Linked DNA regions of Schizosaccharomyces pombe. Changing the gene in region 2 together with the main gene of any one other region gives a genetic interaction. Each region holds a gene or a part of one and is shown on either strand. Other genes may lie near its edges.

What was found.
Region 1: of cdc42 (region 2) and pob1, extra expression of one rescues a mutant of the other (dosage rescue), as found in Schizosaccharomyces pombe (3 studies listed by BioGRID, with this or other methods).

The regions. Positions count from the first base shown.
Region 1 is NC_003423.3:4,385,981-4,394,847, forward strand, and holds pob1 (Boi family protein), read right to left. Parts: upstream 5,183-8,867; 5' UTR 5,174-5,182; coding exon 5,042-5,173; intron 4,847-5,041; coding exon 2,363-4,846; 3' UTR 1,816-2,362; downstream 1-1,815. Other genes in the region: Ran GTPase Spi1, read right to left, coding at 367-704, 839-1,025, 1,211-1,336; vma10 (V-type ATPase V1 domain subunit G), read right to left, coding at 6,111-6,251, 6,308-6,408, 6,452-6,494, 6,542-6,580, 6,628-6,630; PPR repeat-containing protein Ppr8, read right to left, coding at 7,966-8,867. UniProt on the Schizosaccharomyces pombe protein: Has a role in cell elongation and separation.
Region 2 is NC_003424.3:1,910,965-1,918,156, forward strand, and holds cdc42 (Rho family GTPase Cdc42), read left to right. Parts: upstream 1-5,044; 5' UTR 5,045-5,143; coding exon 5,144-5,191; exon of another isoform or gene 5,192-5,354; coding exon 5,355-5,423; intron 5,424-5,853; coding exon 5,854-6,315; 3' UTR 6,316-6,692; downstream 6,693-7,192. Other genes in the region: serine/threonine protein kinase Ppk1, read left to right, coding at 1-375; mitotic and meiotic cohesin loader subunit Pds5, read left to right, coding at 1,078-4,695; heat shock protein Pss1, read right to left, coding at 7,034-7,192. UniProt on the Schizosaccharomyces pombe protein: Involved in development of cell polarity during the cell division cycle.

The DNA.
Region 1 (8,867 bases), on a different chromosome or scaffold from region 2:
CTTCCTTGGTATGCCAGAACTTGTCCATCAGTCGCACACAATATCAATTTTAAACTGAAACAAAACATACAGGCAACAAATGTGTATTTCTAAAAATGAAGTTACCAAAATTACAATTAACTTAAAAAATACGATTTACACTTTTTACCACACATAGTGATATGAACATATCAAACTAAACATAATCTATTTCAAATAACCCCAACGGAATAGCTTAATGAATAAATTCTTTCGAGTGGAAAAATACTAATAAGTTTTATTTAAGGAAAAGAAGGGGTATTTTTTCGAAACCGGAACCGTCCCATCGGCCAGGAACCAATGTATTTTATCTGCAAGGGAGACGTAAAAAAGATATAAAAAATTGGTTTACAAATCAGCGTCATCCTCATCAGGTAAAGGCATAGCAGCAGCCTCGTTCATTTCCTGTTGGTATTGAGCTAACAATTGCTGATCGACTTGAACCTCAGGAGGAGCAAGGGCAGGCGAAGCAACAAACTCCAGGTTGGGGTTGCCAACCAGCTTACGGGCAAGCCATAAGAAAGGTTTTTCGAAGTTATAATTGGACTTGGCGGAGATGTCGTAGTATTGAAGGTTTTTCTTGCGATGGAAAGTGATAGCCTTAGCCTTGACTTTACGCTCTTTAACATCAACTTTGTTACCGCAAAGAACAATGGGAATGTTTTCACAAACACGGACAAGATCACCTGCATTCGATTAGTAATGTTCATTAAAGTAGTCAAAAAAAGCTAATGTCAATATACTTATAACCATTAAATCTAGCGGTCTATGAGTATCAAAAAAAACATTTAAAGCTTTTTTTTGCTTAAATATCACTTACGCCACCAATGGGGAACATTCTTATAGGTAATACGGGAAGTAACATCAAACATGATAATACCACATTGACCTTGAATATAGTAACCATCACGAAGGCCACCTAACTTTTCTTGACCAGCGGTATCCCAAACATTAAAGCAAATTTCACCAAAATTAGTATGAAAATGCAAAGGATGGACCTCAACACCCTAAAAATATGTTAGACTGTTGTTTCTAAACGAAAGATCTAAGCATAAAAAGAGTAACTGAAAACCGATGATGCACGAGTACAGATAACTGTATGTCTCATAAAAAGATGGCATTTATTTACGATACTAGGCATCGTTTCCGGTATACAAAAACTGTTCTAATAAAGTAAAATCATAAAACGTACCAAAGTTGCAATATACTTCTTTTCAAATTCACCAGTCAAATGACGCTTGACGAACGTGGTCTTACCGGTACCACCATCGCCGACAAGTACAAGCTTAAAGGTAGGAACGTTTTGTGGTTGAGCCATACTAAACTTTTCTCTGTTGCACCTAAACTAACTGAGAGTTTGGTTAAAGGAAAATTTTAGTGGTGCGTAATTTTTATATGAATAAAAGACCTGGGTATAACAAAACCCTAACCCTGATAGTCGATTGGAATTTAACAGAAAAGGGAGTGTATGGTATAGTTTTTTAATGCCGATTTAACGAATTGTTTAACGAGTTTGACTATTGCTCTTATTGAAGTTGATCGCCAAAAAATGGATATAGTGTCGTTTTTGAAATTTCAAAAAAGAATTGCTTCTACGAAAAGCTACATTTGTGCGTACTTGCTTATACATTCTGGGTTTATACACAACTTACAAGCAGCCAATGCTTACTTTTTGGACGTCACTACACGGTTTTGATTGCATGTAAAGATAAAAAACCGCAGCCAAGAAAACGTATTTGCTAATCCAAGGAATGCCAGGAATGCCCATACATAGAAAACAAACATTCTAAATTTTCATTAGCTATATTAGTATCACTAGTAAAAGGCCTACGAATTCTGCAATGATCCAGGTCCGCTACCAGCGTGGACTCAGCTGGATCGAAATGATCGAAATAAAGATTAAAAATAAAACAAACGAAAGTGGTAGGAAGTCGACAAACAAATGAAAATTATCAGTAAAAAAATGCTGAATTAATAGAATGATGCATTTGCTTTTAAAAATTTATGCAATAAAAGATAAAAGCAAATAATTCAACGTTAAATAAGCCATATGTGCATGATGAAGATACTATAGCTTCCGCTAGTAAATGTCGGTAAACCAGAATCGAAATGAGCGTATCAAATATGCCCGGTTAATTCTTAAATTGGTGTCAAATATGTCCGCAGTAAAAGCATCAACGAATTTAAAATTCAAACATATTAGCTATGTTTTCAATTTTGAAGGGATATTTAGTTTGAAAATAGATTAAGGAAAACCAGATACTAAGAACAGGGTCTGTTGCGCAGGTTTTAGAATTGGAATGTGTTGCACTTTGCTTTTGTGGATTTTGAGGAGTGTCGGTATTTATTTTTGCTTGCTTGATTTCTTATTCTTTTGTTTTGCATTCTTCTTTAATCCAATCGAAGAAGTGAGATTTGCTTCATTTTCATCATCAATTAATAGAGAAGGAGGCCTAGTACGAAGTTCTTTAGCTTTGCTAAGTGAAATGGTAGGCATTCTCGACGTTGTCAAAACAGGTACCGACATATCGCGTTCCACAGTAGCCTTGAGAAAAGCCGAAGACCAACGATGTAATTCTTCATTATTTTCACAAGTAAAATAATGAACCTTTGGTGGAGTGAACATAACTGCTGCTTTAGCGGCACCTGGAGCAGGTGGAATTAACTTGATAGCAGTTTTGCCTCCACTTAGAACAATGTCATCGGTTTTCGTAACACGATGAGAAGTCATATCAATTAGGCCTTTTTCTGAAGCATCATTTAATGAATGGTAATAAGAAAGCCTTGTTCCTTTTAATACAAAGTATCTAGACTTCCAAACACCGTAACGATCACTACGTTTCCGCATCCAACCATGACAGTCCGCCGTTTTAATTGCTTCTTTGGCAGGTATATTACTTAATCCTTCACTAATTCCAGTAGGTAAAACCTTTTGTCTCCCAAAAATATCACGTTTCGACTTTCGTTTACCTATTGGCTCTTTATTTAATGGTGATGAAGCAACAGAACGAAGGGTTGGACGAGTCTTTAACTCAGTGCCGACTGGAGGTGAAGCGGGTAAGGAAGCAGCCGGAGATGGAGCAACAAAAGTATTTCCTAATTTTGAGCCCTTCGTATCTTTGGGTTGAGGTTTTGAAAGAGGAGTGGCATAATTATTAACAGCGGATTTTTCGTTTATGGACACCCCTTTGCTTGTGACAGGCGATGATGCTTTTGCTGATGGGTCTGGCATTGATTCAGGTGACTTAGTAACAGAACTTGAACTCCCTTGTTCGAGATTGCTACTAGGGAGTCGAGAACTTATCGATGAAGGACTTTCACCATCAATAGTAGTAATCTTTGGAGGATCCAATTCTTCCAAAGCTTCGATAGATATAGCTGAAGCTGGTGCTTTTCCTTTCATAGCACTTGGAATAGGTCTAGGAGGTACGGAAGAAGATTCCGATGCACCGCCCGTAAATTTAGTAGGAACGTTAGAAGATGGTTGAGGAGCATACAAGTTGCCCTTAGATGAATGATAAGGTAAACCAGGAAATGAAGTTCCTTCCTTATCAACATCAATGCTACTGGTAGAAGGAGAAGAGATGGGCTCAGTAAGACGAGAAGGTAAACCGCTATTTTGAGAAATTGAGTCCGTAGGGGATGAACGTTTTAATATCGGTGATGTGGCCGAAGGTTCGTTAGAATCAAAACGAGATACATTTTCAGGGACCGCAGATTGCGTAGACTTAGAATTGCGCGAACTTGGTGTGGCTAAAGGAGGAATCACGTATTGGTTCCAATCGGTAGATGGAGATGAGTCCAAATCAGGTGAAACAATCATATTTGACAAAGAAGGCATCACACTAGTCGGACGATTAACATAATCGTTAAATCCCGGACGAGTTGGACTGGATTTTGATGGTGAACCGCCGGCTTCATCATTAGATTTTTTTGGAATAGAAGAGGAGGAATCAGAACTTTGGCTAACAGAAATAGGCTCAGCAAACTGCGGATATTCTTCATATAAAGATTGTTCGTATGAATCTTTTAATTGTTGGATCTTTCGTAAAACTTCAAAACGTTTTCCAAAAGAAGTAATGTTAAGTTCTTTCAAAACATTGGAATCTAAGCCTAATAAAATTTCACCGGTTATTTCATTCTCCGCAAAATTAGGAGCTACTGATCCAAGGCCGGCATTCATAAGCCATTCAACTACCTCTTCCGTAGACCAGTTAGGAACATTTTGAATTTTTTCGGAAACAGCAAGAGAGGATGCAGGTCGATTTTCAATATAGGGCAAAGGTGAACTGTCATTTGGAGTACGAGATGCTGAAGTTGACATATTCTGTAAAGCTGTTTCAATATCTGTAATAGTTTCTCTAACGGAATCCTCAGCTGACAAAACCTTTTTCAAGCTTGCTGAAGTAGCAGGAGCAGAAGTAGAAGCAGAAGCATTATTATAATCGGCATCAATAGTGTTGAAGTTTGATAGATCTGAGGAAGGTTGGTTATCCAACAAAGGGGAAGGGCCTTCTTGTTTAGAAGATGGAAACATTGAGTTAAAATTACTAGGGACCGAAGGTTTCGAAAGACTATCAAGGGGGCCGTTTAAGATTGATGAGTGACTTGAAGACAAGGAATTATTCGAATACAACTTTTCACTGTCCTTGTCCGATCGTGAAGAAGTTGACCGGCTGCTTGATAAAGAGGATCTTGTGACTTCCGCGGTAGAAATGGAGAAATCTTCTTTGCCTCTTCTTGAATCACTTGAGTCAGACCTCTCATCAGATATCAATTCTACGTGCGAAGCAGGAAAAATACCCCTATTTCCCTGTTCATCTTCTCCCTATTAAAACTTAGTTAGTATGATAAAAATATATCAAGGTTTCACAATCCTAAGGGCATGCAACTTTGACATATAGTGTTTGCATCTTTATGTGGATTGGAAAACTGTACAAAGCAGGCATCAAGAATCCTTCAAATTATAAAATATACCAGGAATAAAAATAATAGGATTTTGACTTCGAAGTTATATACTTACTTCCCACCAACCATCACCAAATTCTTCATCCATCTTTATCAACAGATACTTCCGACCTTCAACCAACGGAAGTTCATCACTACTCTTCCCCGGAAAGGAATGCAAAGCAATCACGAACCGCTGACTTGCCATAGTTGTGGTAAAAGCAGAAAAAACACAGCTATGTGGTTATGCGGTGTTGTAATCGAAGGCTTAAATCTTGATGGCTGGCAAAACAGTGTTTACCGTGTTTGGCTTAGCCCACTTTAACGATAATAATCTATGTGGGGAAAGACGACCTTCGTGGGGGCTTTGCTTTTTGAAATCTGCAAGTCTGTTATATTACATTAGGAGAGTGTTGCAGAATGTGTTTTGACCTAGTCATGGTTTAACCAGTACTTACGTGGGGGTAATAGTAGTATTAGGTGTTGAATAGGTGTTTTATTTATTTCTTCTAATATACATGTCGGTACGTTTGAAGGCAAAGGATAGAATGTCTCATCTTCGTATATTAACGAATAAATGAAGGACCAAAGAACTAAGAATTGTGATTATGCTTACGTTTCCATTGAAATACGCTTAGTATAACGATGAGGGTGACAATTGCATAGTTACTATAATACATGTATCTAATTTATTTATTCACGTGTGTAATGAGGTCGATTGACTTGATCTACCACAAAGGTATTATGGAAATGCGATCGAGTATTAACCAGGTAACTTATTATTTATACAAGGTCCGTCTACGGTTGAAGGTAATTATTGGATAACTTCGCTAATATTTCACAATACTAAAATAAAAAATGAGCTAAACTCGTATTTGACCATATTCCTGGGATATCAACAGTCCACTATATGATTTTGCTTAATAAGAATCATTAGCTATCTGAATGCATGATTATTTAACAGCATCCCTCGCAGACAGAATTCTATACCCTTTACGATCTAATAATTGCAAATATTTCATACATGTATGGGAATATTAGATGATTACCGTTAAAGTGATTTATTGCTAAAAATTGCAAATACAGTTTTCCCTTCAGAGGATAGTAAGAATGTGTATATAAAAATTTAGTAATAAACAGTAAGTTTACTTAACATTGCAAGTTATAGATAAAATAGCATCAACCACTTTATCAGAGTTCTTCTGGGAGCTTGTCTCGATACTTGCAAATGTGTCCTGGACTTGCTTTTTGCTCTCCGCTTCAGCCTGACTATATATACCAGAAGCCTGATATGTTAAAATTGATTGTCCAAACTCTTAAAAACTGTATTGAATAACTTTACCTGACTTTCTGACTTTTTGAATTCCTCTTCCTTCTTGGAAGCGTATTCATCAATTTCGCGTTTAGCCTCAAGACGTGCATCCTTCAATCTTTGAGTGCGATCTTTTTATCTTTTAGAAACGTTGCTCCGATTGATTAAACTTACGTTGGCGAGCCTTTTCGACTATATTTCTAGCAACTTTTTCAGCCTACATATCTCATTAGAAATAACGATCTTGGAATTACCTGAACTTACCTCTAAAAGTTGTTGGATACCAGAATTCGTTTGAGCACTCTAAAAAGAAGTCAGAAATTGCTCCTTATAATAAAAATACAAATTACCATTATGTCTGTAAATTTAATCGTACTTGAGGAAGGGTCTATGGTCGAAGAAGTAATACTGGTTTGATAAACTACTCGATCTCCGTAACGTACTCTATCTACTCTGCTATCCACTAATTCCGTATCTTCTTAAACTCGCTAACGATATGGTAAGATGCGATGTTTTGATTGAAATAATGTTTGCTCCTAAATTTGGATACTATATAATAAAATCAGATTCTTACTATCCTCGGTTATAATTGTTGGGCAACGCGCCGTTGTTTGCTCAGGTGAACTGGAACTTAATAAGTAAATTCGGTATTGTTTTACATTTTTAGGCATATGATCAAGAACTGTAAGTAAACAGATAGCAGAAACCATTTGAATCTTACAATATTACATGATAGTACGTTCGAGCAGCACTGAATTTAACAAGTGCATCTAATAATGCTGTTACGGCGTATACAGCATCCTTGCAAATATAAGCATTGCTAAACATAACTCATTTATGTTTTATAGACATTACTTTCAAAACATCAAATTTTTCTATTTATATGCTCTTTTTAACAACCACCATACCTAAATGAATTACTATTTTAAACTTAGTATATTTTCTAGGCAGCGTATTTTTTGCGAGATAAGCAGTTAAAATTTAAACTAATACTTTAATGTAAAGCAAAATTTGTGATTCATAGAGTACAATAAAGCACTTTGGTCTCACATTAATACAATGACATACACCGACCCCAGCTGTTTGAGTGCATATAAAGCATTAAAATATAGTGATAATAATTTAACTTACAAATTTTCCACTAGCAAGACATACCTACAAATACCGGGAAAAATATCCTCTAATATTCGTTTAAAGCTGTCTTTAACAGCATAACTTAGCGCGGTTTAAATCCCTTACTTTTCGTACTTGTCATAAACCAGGCAAAGCTTCTAAGTATTTCAAACTATCCATATCTCTTGAGAATAAACAGGTGTTTTTAGATGCTAAACTATTAAGACGAACACAAAACCTGTATCTGGAATAAAAAAATATATATTTAATATAAAAGATGGCTATAGCAAAAAACAGAAAGGAGTATGTACGTTAAGGAAAATTAACAAATATCAAAGAGGTAAACAATTAAACCCATCCAGGTAACTTCATAAAACGAAAATCAAAAATCACCACCGAAACGTTCCTAAATAAAATAAATAACTCAATTTGTGAAAGTGTGGGACATATTAAAAGATGGGAGTGAACACTTTTGAACTTTAATGCATGCAGGTAATATGGCTGTGATGTACACATTTAATCGTAATCTCGTTAAAAGGAAGAACTATATGAGATTATCCAAAGTGCAAAAAAATTTATGGCGAACGTATATGTTTACCGTATTTTGATAGCACCATATTCAGAAATTGCAGGCAACTTTGTTGATCATCTCTGTCAGGTTGAGATAGAATGCAGTCCTTTAGGAGATTTATTTCTTTATCTGCAACAGAAATGGAAATAGCTTCAAGACGATACTCAAGATTTACCCAAGCCTGCGAAATTTGCTCACATGTGCTTGGCAATAAACAGTATGCTTTCAATAATGACCGATAAGTGACATGAGTAGGCTTTAACCCGTACTTGTCTATCATATCAAATCCAGCAGAAAGCCATTTTACATCCTTTAAACGACTAGCAATAGAGAACAAGGTGTTGGCAGTACTAATGGATGGTTTGAACTCCTTTACATCTGACATCTTGTTGATAAACGTAGTGATAAAGTCGGTAGCCTTTTTAATATCCCGATCTCGTTCAAATTGCTTCATTGAAAGACTTAAAATAGCATTTGTCAAACGAGTGATATCTTTGGGTGACACTGAAAGATAATAATCGAAAATAGTTAGCAAAGGATCTAGAGAATGGTGTGCTTCAAAAAGTCTTTGAAGTAACCAAACGGTTGTATAGATCGTTGGTAGATTTCTTTCGTTAAGATTAGAATTTTTCAGATAAGCAGCAGCTTGATCGACGAGACCTTTGTTGACAAACACTGAAATAATGACATCGGAGTGAAAACTTGTTAGTCCGTTAAATTGAACTAAAGCTTTATGAGCTTTACTGCTAATACCTTGATCTTTGAAAACAGTATAAATCAAATACACAGCAACCAATTCATTTACAACTTCTTTCCCTTCAAGTTGCTCGTGAATGGCTGAACCTATTTTTCCACACTGTTCAAAACTGGCACCTCCAAGTATCTTAGCTTGAAGTGCTGAGATGT
Region 2 (7,192 bases):
AATAAGCCAACTAAGAAACAACACAAGCGTGCATTTAGCATGTTTGAGAGGCCCACTTCTCAGAAAGCCCCATTGTCACCAGTAGAAAGCAAGATTAACCTTATGGTTGCTCCTAAACGTGTATTAAATTGTGCTTCAGATTCTTTAAGAGCTTTATTAGCAGGAAAGACGGATAAATCTTTTTGGGGTTCACGTATACCATTCTTGTTTAATAAATTGAAATCCAAACAGAAGGCTGTATCCAGCTCCTTCAATACGGAAAACTCATTTTTAATTCTTCAAGCAGTTTCGCCTTTAACTTTTGGAGGTTGTTTCAAAGAAGAAAACGCGTATGGGCAGAAGAAGCAGCACATGAGACACGCTACCGTTTTTTAATGTTTGCGTTACGATATTGTATATCTCAACAATGCATGATAATTATCAAACTGCCTGTTTCCTATATTAGTTTTTTAAAAAGATGGCTCTTCGACTTTTTCTTAAGAAAAGCGGTTTATATGGTTATCAATTATTAAAGCTTGAATTGATTGTTTGACAATGTTGAACAATGGGTTTCCTAAAAAAAGACGCTTTAGCTGATTTTTATCGTTTATCAGCGTGTATATTACTTGCCTTGTACTTTACAGTTTCCGCTTTTCATCTTTATTCTAACTTTTTATTTTAATTTTTAATTTTTTGGTACAAGCACCTTTCGTTCTTTAAACTACTTTTAAACTATTAAATTTCTTTCACTCATATGTCCTTATATCTAATTCACTCGTTAATAATATTTTATCATTACCCTTGAGTTATACTTATTAGTAAATAGTGTAATATTTTAATTACAATAAATGGAACGCGTTCTTTTACGCGTCTCTTCTTTAAGCAAGTACATTGCGAGTCTAACACGAACGTAATAAAGAGTTGAGCACCACATTTTGAAATCGCATCTTTCAAGCTTCAATATTGCGAAGTACTAATTAATAAAATCAGCCTATGGCTCTTATGGATATAGAGCATTGAAAGTTTACTGCATTTGTCATTTATTTGTTAAATACCCAAGGTGAATAGTACAAAAGCGTGCAAAAGCCAACTTTTGCGATGATAAAGTTACAGTTTCAAAGAAACATTGTCCCAACACATGACAATCCGTTAACGACTTCCGAGATTTTAAAACGACTACGTGATTTACTAGGAGAGCTTACTAGCCTATCCCAAGATACTATCGACCGTGACTCAGTATTGCCAGTAGCACGATCATTAGTAAATAACAATTTGCTCCATCACAAAGATAAAGGGATACGCTCTTATACACTTTGTTGTATTGTTGAATTGCTTCGTTTATGTGCCCCCGATGCGCCCTTCACTTTATCACAATTGGAAGATATTTTCCAAGTAATTCTCAAAATTCTTAGTGGTCTTATGAATCAAGAATCTACTTATTATCCACAAATTTACGAGATATTAGAGAGTTTGTCGAACGTTAAATCTGCAGTTCTAATAGTTGATCTCCCGAATGCTGAAGAATTCTTAGTAAATATCTTTCGTCTCTTCTTTGATTTAGCGAGAAAGGGTACTACCAAGAATGTCGAGTTTTACATGCTTGATATTATTAACCAGTTGATCAATGAGATTAACACCATTCCTGCTGCTGCCTTGAACATACTATTTGCTCAACTAATATCAGGAAAGGGCGTAAGGCAAACAATTGGCTCTTCCGATTCTACTAATCACGGTCCAGCTTTTCAACTAGCGAGAAATATTTTTCATGACTCAGCAGATCGACTACAAAGATATGTTTGCCAGTATTTCTCAGATATTATATTCGATTCAAGAGATTCGCTTTCTGACTCCATGACTACTCCAGAATTTATATTCTCGCACAATTTAGTTTTACAATTATGGAAATATGCACCAACCACGTTATTGAACATTATTCCACAATTCGAAAATGAATTGCAAGCTGAACAAACTAGTGTGCGACTTGTGGCGATAGAAACTGTTGGTTTGATGCTCCAAGACAACGCCATATGGTCCGATTATCCTAGGGTATGGAGTGCATTTTGTGGTCGGCTCAATGATAAATCAGTTGCATGTCGTATCAAATGCATTGAAGTTGCTTCCAACGCTCTTCAGAATTCATTGGCTACTTCTGAGATAATTGAAAACGTAGTTCAAATGCTTCAATCAAAGTTGGCCGACACGGATGAAAAGGTGCGGGTTGCTACTCTTAAAACGATCGAACAGTTGACTTTCGAAACCTTTAAAATGCAATTTTCAGTACAGGCTTTGAAACTCATGGGTGACCGTTTACGTGATCGTAAACTCAATGTTCGTTTACAAGCAATTCGGACACTAAGTCAAATTTATAATAGAGCATATCAAGACCTTATAGATGGTGTGGAATACTCAATACAGATGTTCAGCTGGATCCCTTCATCTCTTTTGGAAGTATTTTATGTTAATGATGAAACAACTAATGCGGCTGTTGAAATTTGTATGGCTGAACTGGTCCTACAATACCTTAGTTCTGATACGCAAACAAGGTTAAACAGGCTTTTCCTTTCAATAAAGTATTTTAGTGAAAAAGCGATGCGAGTTTTTATTCTACTTTTACAAAGACAAGTTAAGTATTCGGAACTCTTAAATTACTACATTGAGTGCTGCAAAAATTACAATGGAGGTGTTATGGATAATGATGAAGAGTCAATTACCAACAAGCTTAAGAAGGTGATTGATATCATATCATCAAAAAGTTCTAATCCTACATTAACAGAAGCCACTTTCAGAAAATTTGCGGAACTTAATGATCGTCAAAGCTACAAAATGCTTTTACAAACGTTTTCCATTAAAAGTGAATATCAAGTTGTTTTAAAAAGCATAAAATATTTATTTAAAAGGGTTTCTGAAACGTTGAGTACCGCAAGTCTTGAATGTTTTAGAATATTCGTTTACCGTTCAGCTCTGTTTGCTTTTAATAAAAGCAACGTGCATGAAATAATTCAATTATTAAATGAACCTGTAAAATACCACAATTTCCTTAAGCCGTCGGAGGCTCTTTTACAGCATTTACCGCTAATTCATCCCAACATATATGGAGAGGTTGTTATAGAAGTTGAAAATATTATAGTTTCTTCGGGCATTGAATCGGATCCTAAAGTAATTAAAGCTCTTTCCCAATTCTCCAAAAGAAAAAAAAATTTTTCTATACAAACAACAACTGCTGAAATACTACGAAAGTTGTGTCTACATGGAACACAGGAACAAGCCAAACAGGCAGCGACGATTATCGCTATAACGGAGACGAAAGAATTCAAACTCGATATGATAACGAATATCGTGGAAAATTTGGAGTATAATGGAGGACTTCCTGTACGGCTTATGACTTTAGGACAACTATTTCTATACACTTTAGAAGAGGTAGAGAAGGTTGCTGACCAAGTTACAGAATTTTTAGTAAAAAAAGTTATACAGCGCTTTCCTGAAAAATATGATGATACGCATAATGATGAGGAATGGTGTACTTACGAAAAATTAGATAATCTTACCATGTGCAAAGTTTTAGCAATTAGGGTTTTGGTTAATCGACTGAGGGCGGCGGCAGGAGGAACCGAAGCGTTAAATATTGGAGCTCCTATCATTAAGCTATTGAAAGTATTGTTAATGGCTGACGGTGAATTAAGTCCGTTCAAGAATACTCCCAAAATTTCTCGTGCTTATTTACGTCTCACTGCTAGCAAATATTTTTTAAAGTTATGTTCCATTCCTTTTTATGCGGAACATATAGATTTTAGTTCTTACGTTCAAATCTCCTTATTATGCCAAGATGAAAATTTTGACGTGAGAAATTTATTTTTGACGAAGCTTCAGAAGCAGCTGCAACTTAAAAAGTTGCCAATTAGTTATTATCCTTTATTGTTCCTGACTGCTGTTGATCCGGAAGAGGAGATCAAGACTAAAGCGTCTATATGGATACGTTCTCAGGTTGCTTTTTTCCAGAAAACCCATGATTTTACCATGGAATATGTAGCAACATATCTTATCCATCTTCTCTCTCACCATCCAGACATATCTTCGATAGAATCAGAGAACTCGCTTGATTTTATTGCATACATTCGCTTTTACGTTGACACTGTTGTTAATAGTGAGAACGTCCCAATCGTTTTTCATCTAATGCAACGCATAAAACAAAGCTATGATGTTATTGAAGATGGAAACAATTACATTTATGTGCTAAGCGACATGGCTCAGAAAATATTGCAGGTGAAATCCCAGAACTTTGGATGGAGTTTGACTACGTATCCAAAGCAAATTAAATTACCTTACGAAATTTTAAGACCAATTCCCTCTATAGATGAGAAAAAGAGAATTTTCAATAAAATCTTCATAACGCCTAAAATGGAAAGTCAGATTGAACATGCTATAAGGACACCAGTCTCATCTTTTGCGAAACAGACTACCAATAAGCACGCAAATTTGAAGCAAAAGAAGACTCATAGCTCAAAGAGCGATAAAAAATCGTCTAGAAGAAGGAAAAACGAAAAAAGGAGAAAGCTAAATGAGCAGAATCCTAATATTAGGAACGTGCCAGAACGAAGTAGCTCAAGATTTCAAGGGATTCGTATAAATTATTCGGAAGCACCGTCTTCAAGTGAGGAGATAAGCGAAGAAGAGGAGGAAATTAGCGAAGAAGATTTTGATGAAATAGAGGATTTATAAAAAAGGCTTATTTGGATGCGAAATACCGATACTAGAACACTTACCCAATATTACCAATGAATTTTCAATGTTAATTAGATAAATTGCTATCTTTTTTGTTAAACAATCTATGCTTGCTAATTGCCTAAACTTTTGAAAGATGACTCCATCACATACATGCCTCCATAACTTCTGCATCTATTAATTTTTTTCATTCCTAGTAATATAATAATAAAAGTTGCATTTTTGAGTTTTTTTACGCTTTACAATTCGTAAAATCTAATAGTGAGATTGGATTAGCCGCTGTAGTATATCTTAATAAAGCATGGCTGGGCGAACTAATTACGGTGACCGCACAATATATTTACCTACAACCAACACCGGTGTTTGATACTTAGGGGTTTGAACTTTCTAGGAATTCAATAAAGTGAAGCAAAGCTTTACGATTAATTATTTTTTGTGAAATAGTATGCCCACCATTAAGTGTGTCGTAGTAGGAGACGGTGCTGTAGGAAAGGTGAGTTGATGTTTACGGAAGGTGAAGTTAAGCAATGCATAAAAAAATACAAGAATTGCTATCATCTAAAATGAAGTTTCTTTTGTCTATACATTCCCCTTTATTTCTTTCTTTCCAAAAATTGTTCTTTTGAGTTTTACACATACTGACCGTTTGAATGTAGACCTGTCTGCTTATTTCCTATACTACAAACAAGTTTCCTAGTGACTATGTGCCAACTGTATTCGATAATGTAAGTATAATTAGTTGTTTATGGAATGAAGTACTTGGTGAAGTTTTGTCCCCATATTAGAAATTTTTTACTATTCAAATGTTCGGTCACGGAAAATTTTGATATAAGGCTTTTTGTCAAAAAAAGGCTGAAGGATTAAACAATGACTCAATGTATTTATCGATTTTATCTCAGAAACTATTGAAAGTTTAATAATTTTTTTTTATCCGATGCTTTTTTTTTTCCACACTAGATCTAAAGACCGTAGGAAGCCTTATCTCGTAAGGAATAAGATGAGGCGACCACTTTCTTTCCCAGGAAGATTTGGTCGTTATTATTTCTGCTATTTGCTATATTGGGGACTATTCTAACTTTCTTGTTGCTTTTACTCCCGTTTTTAATTGATATAGCTGATTTTCATTTTATAGTAAAGATTTACTGACTAAAATAGTATGCTGTCACTGTCATGATCGGTGATGAACCATACACTCTTGGTTTATTCGATACCGCTGGTCAGGAGGATTATGATCGCTTGCGTCCTTTATCCTATCCTCAAACAGACGTCTTTTTGGTTTGTTTTAGTGTAACTTCTCCTGCCAGTTTTGAAAATGTGAAAGAAAAGTGGTTTCCCGAAGTTCATCATCATTGTCCGGGCGTCCCGTGCTTAATTGTTGGTACCCAAATTGATTTACGTGATGACCCTTCTGTGCAACAGAAACTAGCTCGCCAGCATCAGCATCCCCTTACACATGAGCAAGGTGAACGATTAGCTCGTGAGTTGGGTGCTGTCAAGTATGTTGAGTGTTCCGCTTTGACCCAAAAAGGGTTAAAGAATGTTTTTGATGAAGCTATTGTAGCCGCTCTTGATCCTCCTGTTCCTCACAAGAAAAAGTCAAAGTGTTTGGTACTGTAATTTAACCCCTGGTTTTCTTTCCTTTTCCGAAATTTCCTTAATACAGCTAGTTTACAACAGTAAACAATGTCTTAGCTTTCTTTAACGATCCCTCATATTTGCAAAGATATTTGCTATTTGTTGTTTTCATCCTAGCTTTTGTGCTTCTTCATTCATTCTGTCAATCACACACTTCTTGGGCTTTACATATCTGTGTTTTCTGGCTAGGCATATTTCCTTTTTCCGTTAAATAAACGACGATTTTGCTATACTTTTGCTACATTATTGTATTCTTCTGCCATTACTCGCAGAATTCGGTATGGTCCGACTTTGATTTTAGCTCTAATATTAGTGTAGCCAGGTAATTCGCAAATAATATTATTTCATTTGTTAGAAAATAAATCGATAATTTAATCATTTTTAGGTGATACGATTATGTTGACTCATTTGCTCTTGTCGCTAGAGCATTAAAGGAGAAAAAATGGATCTACAGTATTGCTTAAATACATGTGATTATTTTAAAGCTTCTGCAATAGTTTGTTTTATTAACAATGACTATATTTTAACTTACTTCCAGTAATTCTGATAAGAAAGATATCTAAATTGAAATGTATCCTACCGAAACCCAGTTGAGATTCGATTTTACGAAGTTTAAACATACCGCGTAAATGAAATTCTCGCATAAAATAGGGAAATATTAAACACTACACTAAACCTAAAGAATAATATTCTTCCATTTTTACTCCTTTTGCTCGTCAATTTCCATAGTTTCAACTTCTTCGTTTTCAGGAGCTACTTCCTCAGCAGGAGGAGGAGGAGGAGCACGACCACCGGTGCCTTCCTCAAATTTTCCTGAAGGCTTTTGCTTTTCAGCTTCGGATTTAGTAGCGGCCTTGGC